2 linked regions of the Astyanax mexicanus genome follow. The protein of the gene in region 2 interacts with the protein of the main gene of each other region in a pairwise test. Links are inferred from orthologs where the notes say so. Each region holds a gene or a part of one and is shown on either strand. Other genes may lie near its edges.

What was found.
Region 1: the proteins of mal2 (region 2) and sh3gl1b interact in binary tests that used the Homo sapiens proteins (3 or more experiments, as listed by UniProt). The two-hybrid records come from large-scale screens. The link is inferred for Astyanax mexicanus from reciprocal best matches to the Homo sapiens genes MAL2 and SH3GL1.

Annotation. Positions count from the first base shown.
Region 1 is NC_064419.1:7,483,775-7,490,909, forward strand, and holds the start of sh3gl1b (SH3-domain GRB2-like 1b), read right to left. Parts: upstream 3,071-7,135; 5' UTR 2,688-3,070; coding exon 2,643-2,687; intron 1-2,642. UniProt on the Homo sapiens protein: Implicated in endocytosis. May recruit other proteins to membranes with high curvature.
Region 2 is NC_064413.1:15,462,007-15,468,990, forward strand, and holds the start of mal2 (protein MAL2), read left to right. Parts: upstream 1-3,896; 5' UTR 3,897-4,039; coding exon 4,040-4,261; intron 4,262-4,678; coding exon 4,679-4,849; intron 4,850-6,984. UniProt on the Homo sapiens protein: Member of the machinery of polarized transport. Required for the indirect transcytotic route at the step of the egress of the transcytosing cargo from perinuclear endosomes in order for it to travel to the apical surface via a raft-dependent pathway.

The DNA.
Region 1 (7,135 bases), on a different chromosome or scaffold from region 2:
GTGGCTAACTGGACTCAGCAAAACCCTCAGCTTTAGCCTGGTATATTTGGCAGCTCACCCCTTACTGGAACAAAGTCAATCACACCTCAGGCTTTGAAATCTACCTCAGCTTGGCTGTGTTCATTCAGTTTCTGCCAATAGATTATCCCTCTACCTTTGTAAACGGTTAAAGGAACACGTTGCAGCTCTGCTGAAGTGAACATGGCCTGTGTTTTCTCCAAATTGCACTCATAAAGCAGCTATAATAAGCTGCATCCTTAACGCTGTTCAGATTTTAAAACTATCTGCAGCCTTTTCTCAAAACCTGCCATTTCCTTGCCTAGCCAACTCCTTCATTTAGCTTTGATGTACATTTGCCAACCTACAAAGCATTTGGGTGAGAGAGTGAAGAAAATGTCTAAAAACACAATTAAAGTGACTGAAACACTTTGGCTGAAGAGAAAACACCAATGGTTGAGGATTTATACACTCTGGAAAAGAGGCTACAAGCCATAAGTACAGTTATAACCAGAGACTGTAAAAAAGATGGACGCCGTGTCTCCGTTCCCATTCATTCAATGAAAATGAAGCCAAAATCTTCCGCCATGTTGGCGATCCTGCCACCTGATTCTGCGCAGTAGAGACTAGAGGAGGGAGAAAGACTGTGGATAGCAACCTACTCATTTAAATAACCCCGCCCCTGAGGGCTGCCTCGCGGTCACAGACCTTTTTTGAATAGAGCTGAATAAACTTTTAAAAACCGAATTCTGTGGGGATATAAAAATTTGACAATATAAGCAGAGGTTACACTAGCTGCTGCATTTAAATAATGGAGGTAGAATTACAGTATATTAGAAAAAACGTGATTGAATGTTGTCTGTTTTGCCATTGAAACCTATGGGGATGGGTGGATTTACACAGCTTTCTGCAGCCGAACAGCAGGGGGCGCCTGACCTGTGGTGGCTTCACTTTTAAGAGACGATGCTCTGTCCAGCTATATACAGTCTATGGTTATAACCATAACCTCTTTATCACTGACAGGCGATTTGTGGTCTACCAAAATGCAGAACAATTCTAAAGCCACAATTTTTGCTTTTCTGTTTAAGCCATAGTGTATAATTTAAGAAATAAATAAACAGTGTCCTTTCTAGAAATGTGTTTTCTCCTCATATTGAACTATGATTTGGCGTAATTTTTTATTTGGAATAATTTAAGGAGACAACTCCAACAAACAACTCACAATATTGTGAGACCCATGGTATATATATATATATATATATATATATATATATATATATATATATATATATATATATATATAAATATATAAATCATAATATTAAGATTGCTTTTGTATCAGCTAGTGCTACAACGGATAAAGCTATGGAGTTCTATAGTTAAGAGGCTATAAGACACTTCAGGTCGAGAATTTATTTGCTGTTTGCTTGAACTCTCACTGCTGGTTACTTCTAGTTGATTCTCTATTATCTTTAGGATTAGCTTTGGCTTGTTAACCTTACACAGTTGTTTTAATCTCTGTGGGCATTCTACTGAAGAGCCTATAAGAAGTAATGACAGTTATAACTGCTTCATCACTGATGGACTACCGATAAAAGTATCGTCTACCAATATAAAATTTAGTTTAATATTTAGGGTACAACACTAAATAAGGTTCCTTTTGGGTAACCCAATTGAACTTTGTGTTAAATTAACACAACAGTCTACTTATGCCAAGGAAAATGACTTGTAATGAATGATATTGTAATTTATGTCTATATATATTGGATAGGACTACAATGAATACAGTTGTTAAGAGCTTTAGTAAAGTGGCAATTAGTAGTAAAGACAGTTATAACCACCATAACACTGATGGACAATATATTGTCTATCCAAACACTATCCAAATACATAGTAATTATAACATGACAGCATTGTTTGTTATCTACTTTAGCATTATATGTTTCGCATTTAATTATATCCATTTATGCTGAATGGATATAAATAGAATTTTAGACTTATAAACAGAAGGACAGTTCAGTTATAATTGCACAAGGATAAAAGACAAAGATAAAGATAACTTAAACATTCCCTGATGTTGATAGATCAACTAGATAATGTTCTATATTACAAGTTTAAGCTTTATGAATATTTACATGACATTAGGCTGCAAATATTACTGATGCATTGCCCATCCAAAGACATAGTGATACTGATTTAATAAGAAATAAATTGACTTAAGACCTTACTCTACCAAATGCTCACAATTACAAAAATACACAGTTTTGCGTTTGTACAACACAGCATTCACTTGAATTATGAATTAATTAATTAAAACTTCAACCTAAACATCGCCTGATATCGTGATACCGCGGTATATCAAACATATCACGACATTGGGCTTTTTTTCCCTCGATATTTATCGACCAGCTCCACAATGCAAAATGTGCAGCACAGTTAACGTTAGGTTAGCTAACGTTAGTTTGGTGGCAAAGTCGCCAGTATGAGAAAACTTAACATAAAAATAAACGCATACACACTTTAAAAACACACTTTAACACTTATCAAACAAACTTTAAACGGTTTTAAGTTCTTTAAAATGTTAAAAAGTTAAAGTTTATGAGATTAAGTGGAGAAAGTTGAAGAAGAGAAAAGTTAACTCAGACCTGGCTGGCTTTGTAGAACTGCTTCTTCAAGCCCGCGACAGACATCTTCAGGCCGGGTTTTTCGACGAAAACAGCGCGATAAAGTGTTAAAGTGCTTTTAAACCGGTTTAATACAGTAAACAAACGCGAATTAATCGCTTAAAAGCTGAAAAAATTAAATTGTCTCCAGACTCCAGCGCCTCCACGGCACCAACACACCAAACGGTTTTAACCAGCCGAGCACGGAGAGCCCCACAGCCGCCGCTGCTGAACGGTTCCCCGGGATGAGAGCAGCTCTGCGGGTCTCTAAAAGCGGCCGGTGCGGGCGGAAAATGTCCCCTGGTCCTGGTTCAGTTTTATCCACTTTGTTTGTAACTCGAGTGTAGCTGCACTGAGAACAGCTAGCGGTCCCCACACACTCTCCCTCTCGCCACCGCTTCCTGCGCAACGCAGCACATTCCCCAACCCCACACACCGAGCTTTCAGCGACATCTGCCGGCCACTAGCGGTACTGCACCCAGAGCAGAGGCCGCTGCAGTTCCCCTGCTAACCTGAAGAGGGGGACAAATTATATGATATATTGGCCACGTGGCCTATTCTGGAGGTGCGTGCACATTTTAAGTAGGCTAATGAAAAGATTTGACTCCAGACTTGACATAAGTCAACAGTGTTGAATTAGTTAAATGAGAAATCCGATGTGAAATGAACTTGAAGTGAAGTGAAACATTAAAAAAAAGGTTAAAAATTTTGTCAAATAGCCCACCTCTGTTCACCCCCAGCATTTCGAAATACAGGAATATTAGCCGATGCTTCCAACAGGCAAAATTAAGTCTATGGAAATTTCCACAGAATTAATTTTGCAATCTAGTCCCTTATCCTACCATTTTTTTTACTTTAGACTTATCTTGACTTAATTTCAAGATGGCTGCACCTGGAAAACATTCTTTTTTCATAAACTATGCACTTTACATCTGTGCACTTTCAATGATCTCAGTGGCTGCGTCCAGAAACTTTTGCTACTCCTCCTCTCCTACTCCTCCTTTCCTACTCCTCCTCTCCTACCCCGGAAGAAGGTGGAGGAATCGAGGAGAGGAGAGGAGGAATGGAGGGAAGGGGATTGCAATTGGGGAAATGGGACAGCTGATCCCTTTTGGATATAATGTTGACTGCCGATGAACTGAGCCAATCACAACGCTTACTTTCAGCACATGTTTTGGAACATTACTATCACACACAGCTAAAAATTCAGATATTCCAATAAAATCCTGTTTACTCCCAGCCGCATTTTTGGCCACAGCCGCAGCCTTATGACCTCAGCCTTATGAGGGTTTCAGTTTCCTCATCTGTCCCTAAGTAAAAAAAAAAGAAAAAGAAAAAATAGATAAATTAAAATTATATATATATATATATATATATATATTATAAATAATATATGTATGTATATGTATAACATGGTACAAATAGGGTCTTTAATATAGTTTTACTGAACATACAACTAACATACAGCTTATCTAAACTATAAATTATATTACTGCTTTACTGACTGTTTTATTAGATAAAGAACCTAGTTAATTAATACATTTATGACATATATTTGTGCGTTGCCTTCTCCATGCTTTGTGGGCGTGGATGCAGTGATGTCATTAAAAAATCCTTAAAAGTCTTCCGGAGTAGGATGCTTTTATGTACCCTCCTTTGGAAGCCTTCTACATGAGGATTTTAAGCGGATTCTTTCGTCTCCTACGGTTTTCGGACAGGCGGCAAGATGGCGCCACAAAATCAGTTTTTCTCGGTCACGGAGGAGAGGAGGAGGATCGGTAGGAAAAAGGAGACACCTTTGGGGTTTCTGGACGCAGCCAGTGACTCATTTTAAATGTCAGGACCCTCACAATTCTACCAATGAAGGTGGGAGCTACTTTGAGCTGGTTATTTTTGTCATAATAGTGATTTATTTGCATGGGCGACACGTATGCCTCTATCATTAGCACTGTAAACCTGTTCCGATCATTGGCTAAAAGAAGAAAGAAAAAAAAAGATACATGGAGAGATACATAGATAGACAGACAGATCCAACGTATGTATGAAAATTACATTTTCCATAAGAAACAACATGCAATATACATATTTTTACACTTGGTAAAGGAAAAGTGCAGAACTGCGCCATCTGCTGGATGCTTTCAGCAACGACGTTTGAGATCTTTACTGTGGGGATAAATGATGGGCAGCCGAGTTTACAGTACGTTTACGAGCCCAGCTTGGAGTAAATTTATGTTTTAATGCACTGCATTTAAGCTGTAGAGGGTGTGTCTCTTTTTTCTTACAAATATGTTAAGCCATTGTGTTGATATTCTAATTATTTCTAGTGACACCCTGAGTTGTTACCCGCAAAATATATATATAAATATATATATAAATCATGTTTTGTATGTAATTTTAAATGTAGGAACTAAATTTAAAATAAGAGCCCAGACCCAGTTTAAAATATTGAATCAAAACAAAAATAATCGAATCGATTTAATTAATTGAGCAGCTTAAAAAATCTGCTTGTTGTAAAGGTCACATGGCTTCCTCTGTAAAATTAAAGTTCATAATTATATGTGATATATGAAATTTGATTAAATTGTTAAATCCCGGAACTTTAGAAGCAAGACATAAACGTTAATTAAATATGTATTATGTATTTCCTATATAGTAAAACTTGTTTGGTCCTTCCGATAAACATCTATTGTTATGATTATATAGATACAGTATAGCTAGTACAACAATATTAATGTAGCCAAAAAAAGATACATTTTGTACTTTTATCTCCTCATATAGGAGAATGTTTTCTACAATATTTTGATTCACTTAAAATTAGAGATTATTTTATTTATTGTTAATACTACCTAAATGACTGTAACCTGGACACACAGCCGAATGCACTTAATCCTAATGGCCACTGCAGTTTATCTGTTCACCGCATGAGGGCAGCATTCACTTAATTAACAGCTTTAATACAATCTTAGTGCCAAACATTATTACACAACTGACTCAAAACAAATGTTCATTTTATGTAAAAAGACTTTTATTACATTCTTTATCCATATACTGTTTTCCCAATGTCCAATTTACATTTCATCCTGTGTAACTTTTTAAATCTTCTTATTCATAATACATCATAAATTACATTTATTAAAATCTATGATTTAAAAAAAAAAACTCAGAATGAAAGGAAACACAGAAGGAATTGTGACAATTAACAACTCAGGAAATTCTGCTTCTCTTAAAAACGCTCTTAAAAAAATAGAATTACGGTTCTCCGTAATAAAGAGGTGGAGAACTCTAACTGTGTGAGGAACAGGACCAGCGACAGAGAGACAGATCACGAGAAAAAAAAAACACAGGATCTTATATATATATATATATATATTTATTATATTTATACTTTATCATAGTCTGAGATCCTATTTTCTTATATAGATGAGGTTGTGAAGTTCTGTGATGGTGCTGATAATCAGATGGGAGAACATTTAATGGAGAACACTGAGGAGAACAGTTAGCAACACACATGGCATGTATCTCTGCTAATGGGTGAGAGGTGTTAGCCTGCTAGGCTAACTGAAGAAGACAATACAACAATTATAGGACCGAGAGCCCAGCCAACTCCCTGAGTGAATGTGTGTGTTTGTGTGTGTGTGTGTGTGTGTGTGTGTGTGAAAATGAGTCTTCACACCCCAAAAACCCACAAATGAAGTTAACATTTATAGGTGAGGTAAATTCAATTTAATTTAATATTGTAGGACTAGGCCTGTCCCAAAAAATAAATTTTCGGCATATCATTCAATTTATGGACATAACCTTTAATATTGCATTTTTATACTATTATCGTTATATCAGTTGCATAAAATGTCTTAAAATTACAATAATTCTAGTTTTCAATTAATTCTCAGCAATTATCAGCACAGGCATATGTAGGACTCTTTAGAAGGAAATTTCACTATTTAAACTTTTAGAATAAATTAAGATAAATCTGTTATTAACTGTAATTATCTTAGTTAGAGTGAGTTTGGTGTGAGACGCTCCATTTAAAGAAACACACCCACTTTAAATAGTTTGAAGTAGGTTGTTTTAAAGAGCCACTAAAGCCATAACCATATTTTGTTCCATTAATAGCTAAATTGTGTTACTTTAAAGTAATGAAACCCACCAGTTCTGCTTAAAATTTTTATAAACATAAAAATAAATGCTTTTATTGTGGTAATTTCTGCCTCTGCGGCGCCCTCTCAGGTTCAACTGTGCTATAGGCGAGGATGATGTGTCTGCGTACTTTGGTACGCTGACACATCACAATATGCAGTTCAGTCGCTTAATAATACCGCCCTCTGCTGACGTCCAACCATCCAGGTCTTACCACTATCAGCCAATCAGCTCTTCCTCCTGCCCCGCCTCTAAACCCATACATCACCCAGTGCCCGTCCCATTTTTTTGCCTTTTTCAAATTTGAGCGGTTTAGTTACCCTTTAAAGAAGTCAGAA
Region 2 (6,984 bases):
ATTAATTTACTAGTAACAGAATGGCAACAGACTGTGCAATTCCTTAAGGTTTCTTAGGTCTGGTAAAATAAAATTAATATATTAAATCCACATTAATATATAGAATATGTCTACATTATATTACTATACTGTAGTGTCACCAGGGGTGGAATAACGAGGCCAAACGATAGTCCTATTTTTTTAGTATGATAGTTCTTTTTAAACAGCGATTCATCAGTGAAGACCCTTTTTCTCTCTCTAACCAAACATCAGAGTTGCTAACGTGTGCTTACAGCATGCTTACGCGGTGACTCTGGTCCGCTCGCGGGGGTCGCTAACCCAGTGTTAGCATAGCAGCATGCTAAGACACTGACTCTAGTCCGCTCATGGGGGATGCTAACTAACGTGGTGTTTCCATAACAGCATGCTAACGTGGTTACTTTGGTCCGCTCATGGGGGTTGTTAACACTACTTTCTACTTCCTGCTACTACTAGCTACTTCCAAGAAATGGCTGTAAGCCAACACAGTTCATTGTAGCCACGTGTTTCTAAAAAAAAAAAAATCAAAATACAAAGATTCCTCACAACTCTTACCCATGCAGTTTTTTTTTATGAGACGGTATAGCTAGCCACCAGTTTAAAGGGGTATTATATCGGCGGTTTAATACTTGCCTATTTCCAAGAAATGGGTGTAAACTGTTTTATAAACATAATATATGAAATACAGTTGCCTCACGATTAAAATAAACAGTGACTGTGCTCGTTCCGTGTAATCCTTCTGTAGGACTTTGCATGATATTTTCTTCAGTATCTTGTAAAATGTGGGATCTTACAATATTTTTTTAGGTGTGCTTAGTCATGTCATGTTGACTTTACTTACAAATTTCTAAACAAAATAAACACAAATTTCGGGCTTTACTTGCTGTTTTAATTAAGCAAAGGGGAAAATCCTATAATTTTAAGTCTTTTCATTATAATGAGCAAAGATTTCTGGGCTTAAGTCTTGTTAACTTTACTTAAATGTATAAACAATAACTTAACCCATTATTAGGGATTTGGGGTTGGGTTATATGCCCAATAACTTCAACAAAGAAGAAAGAGGGCAACTACTAAATGTGCTGGGAGCTCCTTGAAAGCTCCTAAATCCTCACAACTCCAATGCCAACACTGCCACAATATTAGTACAGTAATATGGTTCTCTCTAAATGAAGAATAATAATTTATGTTCATTAGGTTAGCATTAGCAGTTTCCCACAGCTTTTGCATATTAACTGATTCTGTAGGTTTATTGATTTAAGAACATGACATTTTGCACAATTTTCTGTCATACCATCTATAATGAGGCTACATTATAGAAGGATAAGAGTGGAAAGTAAATGATTAACTGATTTATTCATTTACTATTTCACTCATAGGTTCCTTCATTTATATTACATTATGTGTCACAGTCTAAATGTCTGTCTTGATAAGATCAGGGCTGATAAAACTCTGATAGAGGACTTCATATCAATCAACAAAAGCAGTGTATTTATTCACATTCACTGTTTGCCCTTTAAAGATTAATACCTCTTTCTTTGATATGCACACTCACACATACTTCAAAAGTATTTTAAAACATTCCACTCAGATGAGAGTAAAGTACATGTTCCAGATATTAATTTAAGGGTATTTACATGCATCACAATTTTACCATGTTGAAATTAAAAATAAAATGTTGTAGCCCAAATTTAGGGCAATACAGCTCTGGGGGAAAACTTAGAGACAACGTCAGTTTCTGAATCAGTTTCTCTGATTTTGTTGTTTTATTCTATAAACTACAGACAACATTTCAAAATAAAAAATATTCTCATTAAGAGCATTAATTTGCAGAAAATGAGAAATGGCTGAAATAATAAAAAAATGCAGAGCTTTCAAACTTCAAATAATGTAAAGAAAACAAGTTTTTATTCATAAAGTTTAAGAGTTCAGAAATCAATATTTCGTGGAATAACCCTGAGTTTTAATCACAGTTTTCATGCATCTTGGCATGTTCTCCTGCACCAGTCTTACACGCTGCTTTTGGATAATTTTATGTCACTCCTGGTGCAAACATTCAAGCAGTTCATCTTGGTTTGATGGCTGTGATCATCCATCTTCCTCTTGATTATATTCCAGAGGTTTTCAATTTGGTAAAATGAAACAAACTCATCATTTTTAAGTGGTCTCTTATTTTTTTCTATAGCTGTATAATGTTAGGAAATCTGCAGTAATATATACATGAGAGCAGTCATGTTAAGTAAGTTTTTGACAATCTTTTCACTGACTGACGGAGGTCTGCAGTTTACAGAGATTTTCATCAAGCCTACAATGCAGCCATCTTTTACTCTTGCTTGTTTCTGGTCCTTTTTTCCTCAGTTGTCTGCTCAGTAAATGGAAAACATAATCAATTTAATTTAAATCAGGTTTAAACTGGTTAAAACAGCTTTAATTTTTATTTTGAGGAACTCCTTTAATGTCTTAGCAGTAGATGCGTCAAGTAACGAGGTACAAATACTTTGTTATCTTACTTAAGTAGAAATGGTTATCTATACATTTCCAACTCCGCTTTGGTTTATACTGTGATCCATCACACCTTAATGTCACGTCTTACTCCAGCAAGAACATAGCAGAGGTATGTAGCCTAGTATGAAGATGATCCGTGCAGAGACTCAAGAGAACTTAAGCAAAATGTCTCAACTAGGCTTCTTTAGTATAATTGAATATTTGAATAAAATGAATTCATTTTCAATGAGCCTAGTACATCCCTGCATTAACATTTTAATATAACATTTTAGAAAAAATAGGCTCCTGAGGTACAGCCTAAGCTTATGTTCTTAATGCCATTTTCCCCTTACTTTACTTTTACTTTTATACTTTAAGTAAATTTGAAACCTGTACTTTTACACTTTTACTTTAATTTCTGCAGAAGTATTTTAACCCCTGTTATATACACTTCTATCTGAGAAATGAATGTGAAGACTCTTAACAAAGTTGCTCTTCAGTATGTTTGGGATGATTATTTAGCTGCAGGATTAAGCACCGCCCAGTAAATTTGGAGACTTTTGTTAGAAATTGAGTCAAGTGTCAGTGCGCTACTGCCATCAGTGAAGATAAGTGCACCAGCATCTGTGGCAGCCGTGCAAAGCTTCAGTATGTCTTGACACCCACACCTTCATGGTTCACAGATAAGGTGGTATACCTTACAGCTGATTGGCAGCTCCACTTCCAACACATCAACTTTGAGAACTGACTGTTCACTTCCTGCCTAATAAATTCCAGCTCTTGACAGGTGCAATTATGATGGGATAATCAATGTTATTCACTGATTCACTCGTGTGGTTTTGTGTGTGTGTGTGTGCTGTTTAAAGGGTCACTGACACATGGGTAGGTGTATCTAGGCAATCAATAATTACCCTACACTGCAACTGGCAAATTTCCAAATTTCCGTAACCTAGATTAAAACAGAGCAACACAGTATCTGCCTTTTCTGTTCTAGACATTTTAAACATAAGCCACAGATCACTAAATCTCTAACAAGCCAAAAGCACTGGTGTAAAATTCCTTCATGAGCCAATAAGCAGCGCACTTACAATATCAGCAAACATCTATAGAAGCCTCTATGTACATAACCTTGGCTTAGCAGGCCAAACTTTTAATTTGATTTATGAAACAACCTTCATCATCACACTAACAGAGACTTATATATAAATATATATATATATATATATATATATATATATATATATATATAACCTCCATCCACTCTTTATCTCCTTGGAATGCCATAACCTAATATTTACCCAGGAGCAGTGTCCCCAAAGCTTTTTGGTTAATTATTAACTCGTGGTGACATTGCCAGGCTGCTGGTTAAACAACAGAAGAAAAAAAAAAAAAAGACAGAAAGAAAAGAGAGGAGATCAAATAAAACAACGATTTTTTTTATGGACTGAAGATGTGAAAGGCTAAGCAAGAAAGTGACAGGGAGGCACTGCAGATAGCTGCTCTGAGATGGCGGTTTGTCCTCAGCGGTCTTCAGCCATGAATGGGAGTGGCTGCACACCTGTCGGACCGGTTCGCGACACATGACTCCCAGGGACTTACACACTTCAACACACTCGTTCTCTGGAAAGCCTTTGAGCCTCTGAGAGAGATGGCTGAAGCCACGAACCCGGCCGCTACCTCTTTCCCAACGCCCACTATATCCTTACCGCTCGGGCTGGACGTTTTGAGAACGTACTCGGGGGCTCTGATATGCTTGGAGATCGTAAGTGTGTGTTAAATTTTAAATCTTGTGTAATGTTTGCATGTTTTTGATCAGTGTAAAATAGTCATGCTGAAGAAATGCCTGAATAGAAAAGAGCAGAATTGCTGAGCAATACTTAATAAAGTATATAAATGTTGCTTGTGGCACTACTATGGATTATTAAGAATGATTGATTAAGAATGGCTTTAGAGTAGCAAACACAACCTAAACCATTAATGCACCTAATTCATAATCAAATAGACTCAGATTGAGCAGTGATTTCATGCTGTGCAACTCTTTACTAAGTCATTTCAGGTTGAAGTGTGTATTTCAGGACACATCTCAACTTTTACACAGTGATTTCTTCTGATGGATGAATAGGCCTCTGATCAGATTACTAATAGAACATTTTGTACCTCTCCTGTTCCCTCCTGCTAGGTTTTCGGCGGGTTAGTATGGATCTTAGTGGCATCGTCCAATGTCCCCGTGCCTCTTCTGCAGGGCTGGGTGATGTTTGTGTCCGTAACCATGTTTGTGTGCTCCTCCGTGTACCTCGCCCTGTTTCTGCTGGGCTTTGCTGATAAAATCAACGCAGACTGGAATTTCATGGTGAGTATCTTTAACTCCTTCCTACATGGAGTGTTCATTTCCCTACTATACTGTTGGACACTGCTGGACTCCAGCTTACCTGACACAGAGAGGTGTCAGGTAACAAAATACAAATACTTTGTTACCTTACTTAAGTAGAAATGTTGATTATCTATACTTTACTGGAATAGTTATGTTTTTACTTCTTACATGTTTACACAATAATCTGAATTTTCTTCTCCTTACTTTTTAAATATAGCCTTGTTACTCTATTTAATTTCAGCTTGTTTTAATTCTGGCTTCTCATTGATAAAAAAAAAAAACCTTATCCAGATAAATCTCTTTATATTTAAAGACAGATACAGTGAATTTTATTGTGATTGGATGAGAAGAATAAACATATACCATTCCAACACTATTGGTTTATACACGATCCAGCACACCTACACACGTCACACCGTCACACTCCAGTAAGAACATAGCAGACGTATGTAGCTTAGTATGAAGATGATCCATGCCGAGACTCAAGAGAACTCGAGACAAATGTCCCAACTAAGCTTCTTCAATATATTTACATTGTACTAAAATACATTTATTTTCAGTGGGCAAATATGCAGATGAAAAAGTGAGCCTAGTGCATCCTAAAAATGTTAATATAACATTATACTCATTATGGATTTTAGATAAATGCTTCTGAAGGGGTGGGTAGTGCAAAAAATGCCCCTAAGGCATGGCCTAATCTTTCTGTTCTGTTAATCTGTTCTTAATGCCATTTTTTTAATTCTATTTTAAAACTCTAGTATCTATACTTCTACCAGAGTAATGAATGTGAATACTTTTCATACCTTTTGCAGGAAACATTATAAGGAAGTTTAGCAATGTTTTGAAAAGGTTCCAGAAAGGTTAGCCTGTAATGTCACAGAAATAATGTTCCAGGAACATTCTGAAAACATGAGACATGATAATGGTTTGCATTACAACATTTTTAGAACTTTCTTTATAACATTCCCAGTTAGATAAATATTAACATTATGGAAACTTTAAAAGTAACATTCTCAAAACTAACAAATTAAAACACTGACACAAGTGACAGTGCAGCAATGTTAATTAAAATGATGTTCTAATGATGTTAATTGTAACATTTAGAAAACATTCTACCAACCAATCATTGATATTTGGAATTCAATATTTAATATATGTACACAATAAACCATTACTACTATAGTACTATAGGCTTTCTAAGAAAGGAACTTCTAAATAGAGTATCACAGAAACACACCAGTCCAATAACATTGTGACGAATACCCATGATGGCACAGTTACTTGGAACTCATTCAAAACTGAGCAAACAAAAACTGATTCCCATTCAGTTAGCATGCTGTTGGCTGGGTTCCTTAAATCTGACAAAGAGCTCCGTCTGCAGTGAAACTAGAGTGGAAGTGGCCAAAAGGCGTGCCAGTCCTCAGTCCTGGCCCGGGTTCCAGCCCTGCTGCTGAGTAATGTCTGCTTTATGAGCATGATTAATGGTCACAGCTTAACAGTCCTGCACATATCTGTGTGTAACATGTCCTTCACATTATACTCATATTCCTTAATAATTAATTGCTGCAGAGATAAAGCACAGATTATTGCTGATATCCTGTTAATTAATTGCATTAATACAGAGTTGAGTTTTAATACACTGCCTGGCCACAAAAAAAGGTCACACTCTTTAATATTTCGTTGGACCGCCTTACGCTTTGATTGTGTCACACATTCACTATGGCATTGTTTCAATAAGCTTCTGCGATGTCACAAGATTTACTTCAATCCAGTGTTGCATTTTTTTTGCAATCATTTTTCACCAAAATCTTGCAGCATTGATAATGGTAGAGTCTGACTTCTGAACAAAGCCTTTTCCAGCACATCCCAAAGATTCTCAATAAAGTTTAGGTCTGGACTCTGTGGTGAACTCTCAATCCATGTGTGTAAATGATGATCTCATGCTCCCTGATTCACAATTCACAATTTCACAATTCCAGTCCCATGAATCCTGACATTTTGTCAGTATATTTTTATTGTTATCCTAAACGAAGGAGGAGATAAGAAAATGATGATGACAAGATCTGCCAGGAAACATGTACCAGGATCTCCCAATGAGCATTCGATTCCAGGTT